Drosophila melanogaster: one gene and its partner. The gene in region 1 interacts genetically with each later gene. Each region holds a gene or a part of one and is shown on either strand. Other genes may lie near its edges. The genes, in order: Fas1 and bif.

The links.
Region 2: of Fas1 (region 1) and bif, changing one enhances a phenotype caused by changing the other (phenotypic enhancement), as found in Drosophila melanogaster (one study listed by BioGRID).

Annotation. Positions count from the first base shown.
Region 1 is NT_033777.3:16,623,020-16,628,247, forward strand, and holds the start of Fas1 (fasciclin 1), read left to right. Parts: upstream 1-2,218; 5' UTR 2,219-2,323; intron 2,324-2,949; 5' UTR 2,950-3,092; coding exon 3,093-3,197; intron 3,198-5,228. Other genes in the region: Ccdc114 (Coiled-coil domain containing protein 114), read right to left, coding at 1-73, 136-310, 384-892, 1,023-1,318, 1,377-1,601. UniProt on the Drosophila melanogaster protein: Neural cell adhesion molecule.
Region 2 is NC_004354.4:11,676,939-11,682,060, forward strand, and holds the start of bif (bifocal), read left to right. Parts: upstream 1-2,031; 5' UTR 2,032-2,351; intron 2,352-3,905; 5' UTR 3,906-3,914; coding exon 3,915-4,176; intron 4,177-4,779; coding exon 4,780-5,122. Other genes in the region: Vlet (valette), read right to left, coding at 727-1,411, 1,465-1,496.

The DNA of each region.
Region 1 (5,228 bases):
CACATTGTGAACTGTCAAAAAGGTTTTGGTACTGAGCACATTAAGGATAGGAGCATCGTCACAGGCCAATTGTCTAAAATTAAAATGGAATTTGGTAGACAGTCAATAGTAAGGATATATACTCGCAGATTGCACCTGAATATATCCTCGATGCCCTTGAGAAGCTGTTCTAATCTGATGCTCAGGGTTCGCTTCCTTTCTCTGGTCTCCTCCGCCAGCTGCTCGATCCGCTCCTTCTCGGCATTTAGATAGTCAAGTGCCTCGGTCTTAAGCTTCAACTCCTTCTCGGTCTGCTCCGATTTCTGGCGCTCTGTTTGGATTATTATGTACAAATTTTAGTATAAAGACTAGTCTATAGCCTAATTCAGAATCCAACAACACACCTATTTCATCTTGGAGCTCCTGAGTGGAATCGTTGAGTACTTCAACCTCGTGACTCAGTTCGTTTACATAGTTGAAAAGGGCAAAGTTCTCGTCCTCCTGACGCTTGAACTGGGCCACCAGTCGGTCCGCGTCCTCCTCGCCGTAGAGCAACTTGATCTTCTCGATGATCTCCTTGTACTCCAGAAGCTGCCTCTCGTAGGTCTCCTTCTGACTCTGCTTCTTGTCCAGCTCGCGCTGCTCCAGCTCCGGATTGAGGCGCTTTTGTCCCTTGATGTCGAAGAACTTCTGCAACTTGGCGTCGTGCTCCAGGCGGCGCTGCATCTCGCGCATCTCCTGGATGTGCATTACCTTGTCGTTCTCGTTGCGATCCTTTAGGACGGTCAGCTTGTTGCACAGCTCTTCTCTCTGGTCGAAAGCCAGTGTCGACTGGTCTATGAGATCCATGATGAACTTCTTGCCCTCGTTAAACTGGGTTACCATCGACTGCCACATGTCATTGAAGTTTGCCCTGGAGTGGAGTCGAAACGCATTAGCTCAATTCGGTATAAAAACCTAATAATATGGAGAGCACCTAGTTGACTTTTCATAAACCTAGTGTGTATTTTATAGATTGTATATATCTAGCGAGAAATGCTCACCGATCCTGCAACATGTGGTTTATGGCGTCCCTCATCTTGCTGTTTTCAGTGAGCACATCGCTGCATTTTTTGTTGACGACATCCAGGCGGTTCTCCAACTTGACCACGCTCTTCTGCACCTTGCAGATGGTGTCCTTGTAGCAGTTGTCGGGCACTTCGTTGCGCCGCAGGGCATCAATCTCCTTTTCCATTTTCCGGATGTGGCCCTCCAGTTCCCAGAGATTGGTTCGCTCATTCTGGAGCACCCTCTGCAAATCCGCCTGCTGTTCCTGCAAAGTGCCCAGGTGCTTCTCTCTCTGAAACCGATGTAAACCTTTTATATGTGGCTGACTAGTCCATTAAGTGGATATCTACATTGGTGTTCTTTCGCGCATGAGTACCACCTTCTAGAGTCTTGATCTCCTCCTTCAGCTTCTGGTGCTCCACTTGCAGTACGTTGATCATGTGATTCTGCTTCTTCAGGCGCTTGGCCTTCTCCTCGAGGAGACCCCGAAGGTCCAGCTGGAGACCCCGATGCTGGCGTTGCAGCCTCTGCAGCTCGGCAGTTGCCAACTGATCCAGCTCGCTTTGGTCAGTCATCGTTATTGGCTTTCTGAATTCGGTCTTTGCAATGGTATTGTCAAAACTGATAATGATATTAATTTGATTTCAATAGCAAACAAGCGTTGCTGGTGGCAAGTTGCTTAGTAACGGCGTGGTTTATCGAAGACTTTTACCATTTACTTAAAGTAAGAAGAACCAAATAGGTACACTGCTTGTTAAAATTCAATGTTATCTCCTTAGAAAAGTAAAAAAATAAGTGCTTGAAAATTATAACCGGTTCAATTTGGAATAAAATCTTTCAAACAGTAGAGACTCTGCTTAGCGGAGTTATCCACCGCATTCTGTCGTTGCCACATTTTGCGAAACGGTTAAAATGATTATTTATGCTTTTAAACGAAAAATGAGAAAATTTAAAGCAGTCTTCTTGTAATAATAATAAGATTGGATAAACAGACATTATTATAAATCTGACACAGAAGAGCAACGCAGCGCTCGATTTGTACTAATATTTTACCTCTAACAAGATTCGGAAAAGCATAAAAAGCACATAAATAAGAGTCACCGCCAAAGACATGCACAAATAAATATAAATGTTAAGCGATTTATTAACAGTGCACAGTGTTGCGATTTGAAACATCGACAGCTATCGATAACACTCGTTATCGTCACCACACGCTCGGCTTAAACCTGTTCTCCGCTTTTCGTTTTAATTCGAAAAAAACGTTCGAGCGTGGCGCACGTTGCGATTCCTCCGACTGGTACTTGCTCCCCTTATATTGAAACTCTGTGGAAAATCTATACTGTGCATAGGGCATAACTCTAAAATAGCTGCACGGCCCATTTCGCTGCCCTTGCTATTGATTTACCACCGCGCTGCGTTCGTTTGTGTGTGCTACTTAAAGAATTTGTGTGTTTTCCAAGTTTGGTCCGTGGACATTGCATAATTTCTGCGGCGGCCGTTAATGTTAATTCCTGCAGCCCGAGTTTCCGAGAATTACGCAGAATAAAGACCAGAGAGAAAACTATAAAATCGAAAACAGAAAAAAGTGCCGCAGCAGCGAAATGCAAAGGCGCATAATAATTAAACACACAGCGACGGAATGAAGAAAAAATAATACACAATAAGCGCAGCTTTGTTTCTAGTTAAATTGCGTTTGTGTTGTGCTTGCCGATTCCTCGGTGGTCCGTTTTTCGCTTGTTGTTCTATGTGACATAACGGAACTCTGGGCAAAAGCGAACAGGAAGCAGCGATAACCTTGCAAAAACAAAGAAAATACCAAGGAGGACAAAAAGCATGCCAAGCATATATCTGTGAAATAATATTTTCTTTTCCGAGGAAATGCTGTTTGTCGTCGGCTAACTGTTGTTTGCCTTTGAATTGCAGATCTTAATCGTAGAGCAGCACTCACACCAGCACACGCCCCCCGCAAAACAGCACACACAGCCACACTCACAAACGACGTACACTGCCAGCGCATAAACAAGTGCTGTTGTGGTTGTTGTTGCTGCTGCTGCTCGTCCGCTAAAATGCTGAACGCTGCAGCGCTGCTTTTGGCGCTGCTCTGCGCCGCGAACGCAGCCGCCGCCGCCGATTTGGCGGACAAATTGCGCGATGATTCGGAACTCTCTCAGGTGAGTCAGAAGAAGAAGAAGAAGCGAATAACGAGAACGTGGAGGATGAGGAGGTGAAAGGAGGTGGTAGAGTAAGAGCACGAAGAAAAGCAGTAGCAGCAGAAACAGTTGGTGCAAATAACCGAAACACTTGTCCGTAGTCAATTAAGCCCCCAGCACCACCCACCAAACGTCGCCCCCCCTCCCCCCGCTCACCCTTGGGTACAGTAGGGATTGCCTGCCATGAACATTAGTAATCCTTTTCTATCTTTGCAACCGATTAAATTAATGCGAAGAGTTACACTTCGAATATTTGTCAAAAGTATGTTTGTTTAGGTATCCGTACGCGCAACATGTAAAATTTGAACACATTCAGGGGCTTTTATTAGTCTAATATATCATTTCGTTGGAAAAGTATTTCTTAACTGCCTACATTTTATACAGTAATCAGTCGCATTTTTTCTGTAGCCAGGGAAACTGCCAAAATTAAAATAACTTTTGTGTGAGCAAAAAACAAACTATTTTTAGCAGACATTTATGCGTTTAAATAATTTTTTCAGCCTTTTGAATATGTTTCATATATTTCTGTGATGCCTTAATTTCTTCTCATGGTCGGATACCTTATTGCAATGATAAAATCAATTTTTTATTATGCCTGACTTGGCTTTGGCGAAGTCAATAAATTTACCTTGCCACCTAATAGTGGCAACTTATCAAAGTTCGGCTGTAATTGTGCCACCACCCACAAGACGCCGCCCCAATTCGTTGGCCTTGAAAGGAAAAGCCTTGGTGGAGTGTGCGAGGAGGCGGGGCAGATCGGGCGGGAAAAAGGAGCCTGCGCAAGAGGGACGCACCCGCATTTGGGCACAGGTAGCGTAGCCTTCGTTCCGGCAGCATCGTCCTTGACCTTTAGCCATCTCACTTGTTGTTGGACTGCGGAAAATCGATGATGCTGCCTAAAATCCCTGGCGGCAGTTCAGGTCCAGCCGACCGCTAAGCTCCACTTGGCCACATTTCGTATGCATGGCGGAGTTCGTTATGTAAAAATGAAAAGCCACATAAATTAAGCCCAGGTCTGCTGAATTGGCTCTCCCCAGCAAAAGGCAAATGGTAGAAAAAACGCCGGCCGTTGACGTCCACTGCGCATAACAGTTTTATATTTAGTTTTGCCTTTTTACACCTTCACAGGCCAACTCACATACAAAGTACATAGAAAACAAAAACACATTAATGTGTAAAAAACTCAGAAGCCAACAAAGGTGCGCGGCTGAAATAACAAGAACAACATGTGTAATGAATTCAAAGGCGGGGGTTCAGTCACCAGAAGGGGTATTAGCATTACACCAGGAGAAATATATATATATTTTTTTAATATGTTAAGGTTTATGGTAGCCCATTAAGCCACATAACTTATACTCAAAAAATAGAATTGATTTGAGTGGAAAATAGTAACATAGTTCGTCTATTGTAATTGCTTTTATCTTATATAGTAGGTGAAGTAGTAGTTGAATACGCGTTTTTAAGTAACTGACTTGAGTCCCTGCTTAATTTTCTAGTCTGCCTTAACACTGCATTTAACACCCGAAATACACGCTGCTTCAAAAGTAAATTAGACTTCCAAGTAAAAAGAAAGCGTGTGACAGACTGTAATTGTTGCAGCAAGTGTCTCAGGGAAGTAGTTGCATCCACACAGAAAAGGCAACCTTTTCGAGTTACAATAGGCGAAACAGAGCGTACAACTAAAAAAAATTAAAAACAAGAAGGGGGACTCGGCTTGCTCACTTGCACCCTTGCTTTAGGGCATTGTAACTTTGCCCAGAAGTTTGCCACTTTCGGAGCAAAGCATTTCCGGCCTCATATCTGGAGTACTGCTATACATGAGGGTGGGACCATTTGGTCGCCATAAAAAAGTAAGGGCGGAAAGTAATCTTCTGGCATTTATGCAAATTAAGTGCCGTAAAACTAATGGATCAAAAAGTCAGGCTTGGGAAATCCCTTTTAAAGTTACTTCTTAAGACTATGAAATAATCATTTTATTAATAATATGTCGTA
Region 2 (5,122 bases), on another chromosome or scaffold:
TTAGTTGAAATGATTAACCGAACTGTGAAAGAGTGCAATAGAAATCGTTTTGCTTCTAGATTAGTGAAAAATACAACGAAGCCCCTAATTTGAATACGAAGCAACCCAAAATCCCCGCCCTCCCGTAATAACAATAAATACATATGCATAATTATGCAAAAGTTTGAGAAGATGAAACTAGAAAGTCTGTATAATGCATACATAATATACGACTCCATTATACACACACACACGCATACTAAGGCCGATGAATAACATATGCATATACAATATAGACATATATTAAATATATATCATTGTAATAATTTGTAATGTTTATCAGTAGAATTATGATCCGAGGTGGAGCAGACGAGTAAAACGCATGCAGAGATCCATTAAAGTGTACTGTAAAATGTGCCACACATTGTTTTATCTAAATTTATTAAAGGATTTATTATTTTGCAGAGGGTAAGTTCTAAAACTTAAAAACTAGTCCTGTTTGGAAGATCCTAATCATTGCAACGTTTTATAAATCAAAGCCGAACTCTTACTCTAGTAAAAATTTGGCTACGTTCGGAAAATTAGCCAGAACATAGGAAAAACCCTACTGAATTAAACAAAAAAAAACGTGTTTAACATTTGGCTACGATCGTGTTAGTATTGCATACTTTTAGGTCCATCTTTTTGCACAGAGTTTTGTGTGAATCAACAATAAAATTGGCACTGGAATTGGTCGATGGCGTCCCACTACTGATTGCCAGGCGCCGTTGCTCCTGTAGTCTTCATGGCCAGCATGGCGTCCAGTTCGCCCTGGATGCTCTCGAACTGATTGTACAGTTCCATTAGTTCCGGTTGTGTCATTTCGATGTTGATATCCTCGCCGACGGCCGTTTTCATTTGGAGCACGGCCAGCGGGGTCTTCTCCCGCTGCTGGCAATGCGAGGAGATCTCCATGTTGAGCTTCCAGGCCACATCTTCGATGACATTTGATTCGTACCGCTTGCTGGCCAAATTGTTCATAATGGGCGTCGTTTCGCGCACCCACAAACGCAATATGGCATCGATCTTGGCCTCATCCTCCAGCTGGAGTTTCTCGCGCAGCTCACGCTGCAGCAAACTTGGCTTGATGATAAACGTGGAGATGCGACGCAGGATGTAGGAGAAGGTCTTGATCAGCAGCAGGAAGTCCTGACGCGGTACGCCCACCAATCGCTCCAGTTCCTCGAGTGTGTACTCCGGTTCGGTGTTACTTGTGGGGTTCTCCTCGGTGCTGCTGTCCACCCGGCCGGTGGTCGTCACACTGGTGCCCACTGTACTACTGGTGGCACTCGCCGATGCTACGCTGGGACTCATCTGCCGGTGGGTGTAGAACAGAACCGTCGTAAAGGTCTCGTAGGGCAAGGCATTGATGATTTTGATGCCCTCACGGGCTCTAAGATATAAATGCAAGAAATTAATCTCTATAAGAACATTGATATTACATACCTTTCCGTGATCTTTATCCAGTTAATGCTCATTGTGAGATATATTTAAAAATTTTTAAGGAACATAGAGTTATTAAGTCTTTACCAGCACTTCTTTTATTATGACTTTAATATTATTTGTTTATACAGACCAACAATATACAAAAAACTATCGACTTGCCACGGTGCGGTGCTGCCACACAGTTACTACTGCCAATAATAACGGTAAGTGCTGACTAAAATACAAAAATATTACATTTTGCGATGTGATTTTAAACATATTCTTTATTAATTTTTTAGATTTAAATGTTTTATTAAATTAATTTATTTTTCTGTATTTAGGCCTGAATAATTTACCTTATAAAATTACAATGTTTTAAATAATATTTGCTGTTATGTTTCCTGCAAAATAAAATTCGTGAAAAAAAGCCGCACCAGCAAATATCAATACCAGATTGTCGACGGCACCGACGATCGACGATTCAATTTGTAGAAGATTATCAAGTACGAATAGTTTTCCAACTCATTAATATAATCGTCCTACCTGGCAACTCCGCTGATGCCTATCGATGCTCCGCTCGATAGCGCCAACAATCGATAAGCAGTATTTGTGTATTGGAAACGCGGCTTAACTTAATGCAGATTTTTCCGCTGATTCGGCTGCGAAAGATGCACTTTTAAGGCGCAGCGAGTGCACCCACGCCCCGAGTTCGAGTGCAGTTGCAGTCGGGAAAGCTTGACAAGTGCGCGGAGCAAGGAGAGCGACGAGTTCGTTGAGCTACAGCGAAACGGAAAAGTGTAAAAGCGGGGTAAACAGGCGCAGCGGAGCGGATGATAAACGGAACTCGGGATCGGAAAATTGGAAGCAAAACCAACCACCGATTATAAAAAATAGTCAGCATCTTAAAAGTAAGGATTTCAAGCTAAGGTTTCAGCGAAAGCCCGAGAAAAACAAAAACCCCAACTAAACTAACGGAACAGTGCGTCGGGATATATGCATGTGTATGTGGTATACGTATGTGTGTCTTTGGCTGCGTGCGATTGTATTGTTCCTGTGTAAATAAACAAAACCCGGCTCTTTAGTCTTCCACTAGTTCGTTTCGCGTTTCTCTGCGAGGAATTTTTGTTGAAAAAACTCAATTTGGCATAGCATAACTTCCAGTTTATTTCCCTATTCTGCAAACTGTGTGTATCAGTGTGCTGGTGCTTCCAGCATGCCGTAAAAATCGATAGCGCGTCGTCGGTTGTTTATTTTATGCTTCGTCTGCATTTTGCAGCCCCTTTTTATCGCTCTCCCCTTTTCAGCCACCCTTGCACACACTCACACTCTCTCCGGCGGAGTCGTGTGATGCATACACACACACACACACAGACACATGCATACGCCTGATACGGGAAATTAAAAATAATACTTTTTATCGCGGCATGCAAAAGGCAAAGCTGCAAAAACAGAAACAATTCCAATTCCAACAGCAATAATCTAGCCATGCAATCAATTTTAGCCAAACAATAAAAAGAATCGTTTGGTTTCAGTTTCCCCGCTTTTCTTTTCCGTTATTTTCCTCTCTATATTCGGTTTTATCGCATTTTCCGCTCATTATGGCAGTTTAGCATATTTATGCTGGAAAAATATTGGGGTTTCTTCGCTTCTTACCTTTGTTTTACGTTTTGTTTTGCTGTCGGGCTGTAAAAACAGCAGTTAATCCAATTAAGAAAAATAAAACTCTAAATGCCATCGCCACCACGAATTCGAAATCACCTTTTATCTACTCAAAAGATATTCATCTTATTTATTTTCCAAGATAAATGTTAAATTATAAATATATTATAGAACCATACACTTGTTGAAATAGAATTTCTGCTAACAGCTGCGAGTTTTACAGTCATAACTATTATTATTATTTATTAACTTAGATTTCTACAGGCTGCGATTTTATAAAAATGATTCAATTTTTTATCTAGACTTTGTTATTAAAATTTCTACATAAGCAGAAAATAATTGCTGCAATGACAAATATTTCATTTTCAGCTTGTGTTTATCGTAGCTTATTTTTTGTTAAATGTATATTAAAGTATTTACTCCCCTTCTCATGTAATATACATATATTGAAAAAACAGTACTTTTGTCTATTAGAATATATTTATACCCTCACTTATTGGTTCATCTCGAAAACTGGTCGAGTAAACTGAGAATCTTGAGATAGTTTCTTGAATTGGATATAATTTGCATGGTTGGCCAATCTTTTGGGTCGGCTATGCCCGCCTCTTTGCTTCGTAGAGGAGCTTGGGCACCGGGCACTTGCAATTGGCACCAGCTTCGGGCCAGTCAGTCCGCCAGACTTGGTCTTTGGGTCGAGATGTAGAGCTGGATAGTGTGCCACACTATATAGGGGATACTACTGCGATACAGACACCGCGGACACGGCTGACATGCATTAATGCTGCGAATAATGCCTATTGCAGACGGGGATAATGGAGTCACAGAAGCGGCCTTCGTTGGACTTACACACGGATGTGCCAGCAGGATTAGCAGCTGGAGGATCTGGCCTGGGAGCTGCAGCTGAGATGTCGCCCACTTCCGGTTTCCTGCCGGACATGCCGCAGTGGAAGAAGGACCTCATCCAGCGCCGGAAAACGAACGTGGCCCGCACCCAGGCGGCGTCCATCACCTCGCCCACCGATGGCAGTTGTGGGGCTTTGGCAGAAGCCAACGCAGCTCCAGGTGCAATTGCAGGTGAGTGGTGGTTGGACAAACTGGAATACTTTCACCTGACACGCAAATTAAAGGTATTTTCAAGCCAAGCATTTCTGTCAAGGCATGTTAGGTGCAAGTATTCGTATTTCTAATCGCTATTTCTTGCATTCTTGACAAACGAAATAATTGCACTTACTTTTGAGCTCCATACTTATCCCTTTTAAATGATACCGTTCGGTACTTAAAATAAATTCAACGAACTATAGACTTCGGAAAGGTTTTTAAAATATTTAAAAACTGCCGTAGCAAATAGTAATCAGGGTGAAATATATTGACTGGAAAAATGCGAAAGACTAATTGTGACTTACACAATCTGCAATTGCTCAGTTGGCGTTAACCAGCCATGAGTAATGGTAACAAGTGTTTTTAATTCATTTTGCCAACTTTTACGATTTCCAATACCAGTATACTTTTAAATTAGCCGCCTTACATATTCGCTTATCGATACGATATTCGCTTATCGATAGCTCACAGAGTTGTCAGATTGCGGACGAATAAGATAAAAAAAACCAAGTTATGTTTTAATGTTCTGTCTTTATAACATTTGTATTTGCTTTCTTTCTTCAATTTTTTTTCTAACAGATTTCACAGAACCGGCGACAATCAGTAGCACTAGTCAAAAGAGAAACATGATCGGTTCAGAGGAAAAGTCTGAGAAATCTTCTATTTCCAATACCAATTCCGATTCCACTGGAGGTCATCACTCTGTTGTTGCCGTCTCCCTTTCGCCCGATGCGGCAGCAACAACAAATGTAACAGTAACACCAATACCAAAGCAGCGATCGAGTTTACTCAACACAAGAAGTCAGGAGAGGGAGATGGTGCGATATATTCTAAGCGAGAGTGGAGAACGGGATGGAGAGCTTGAGAGCGGCGAACAGCCGGCTGGTGTGGTGAGTAACAGCCGGTGCGGTGAAGTTGAAAC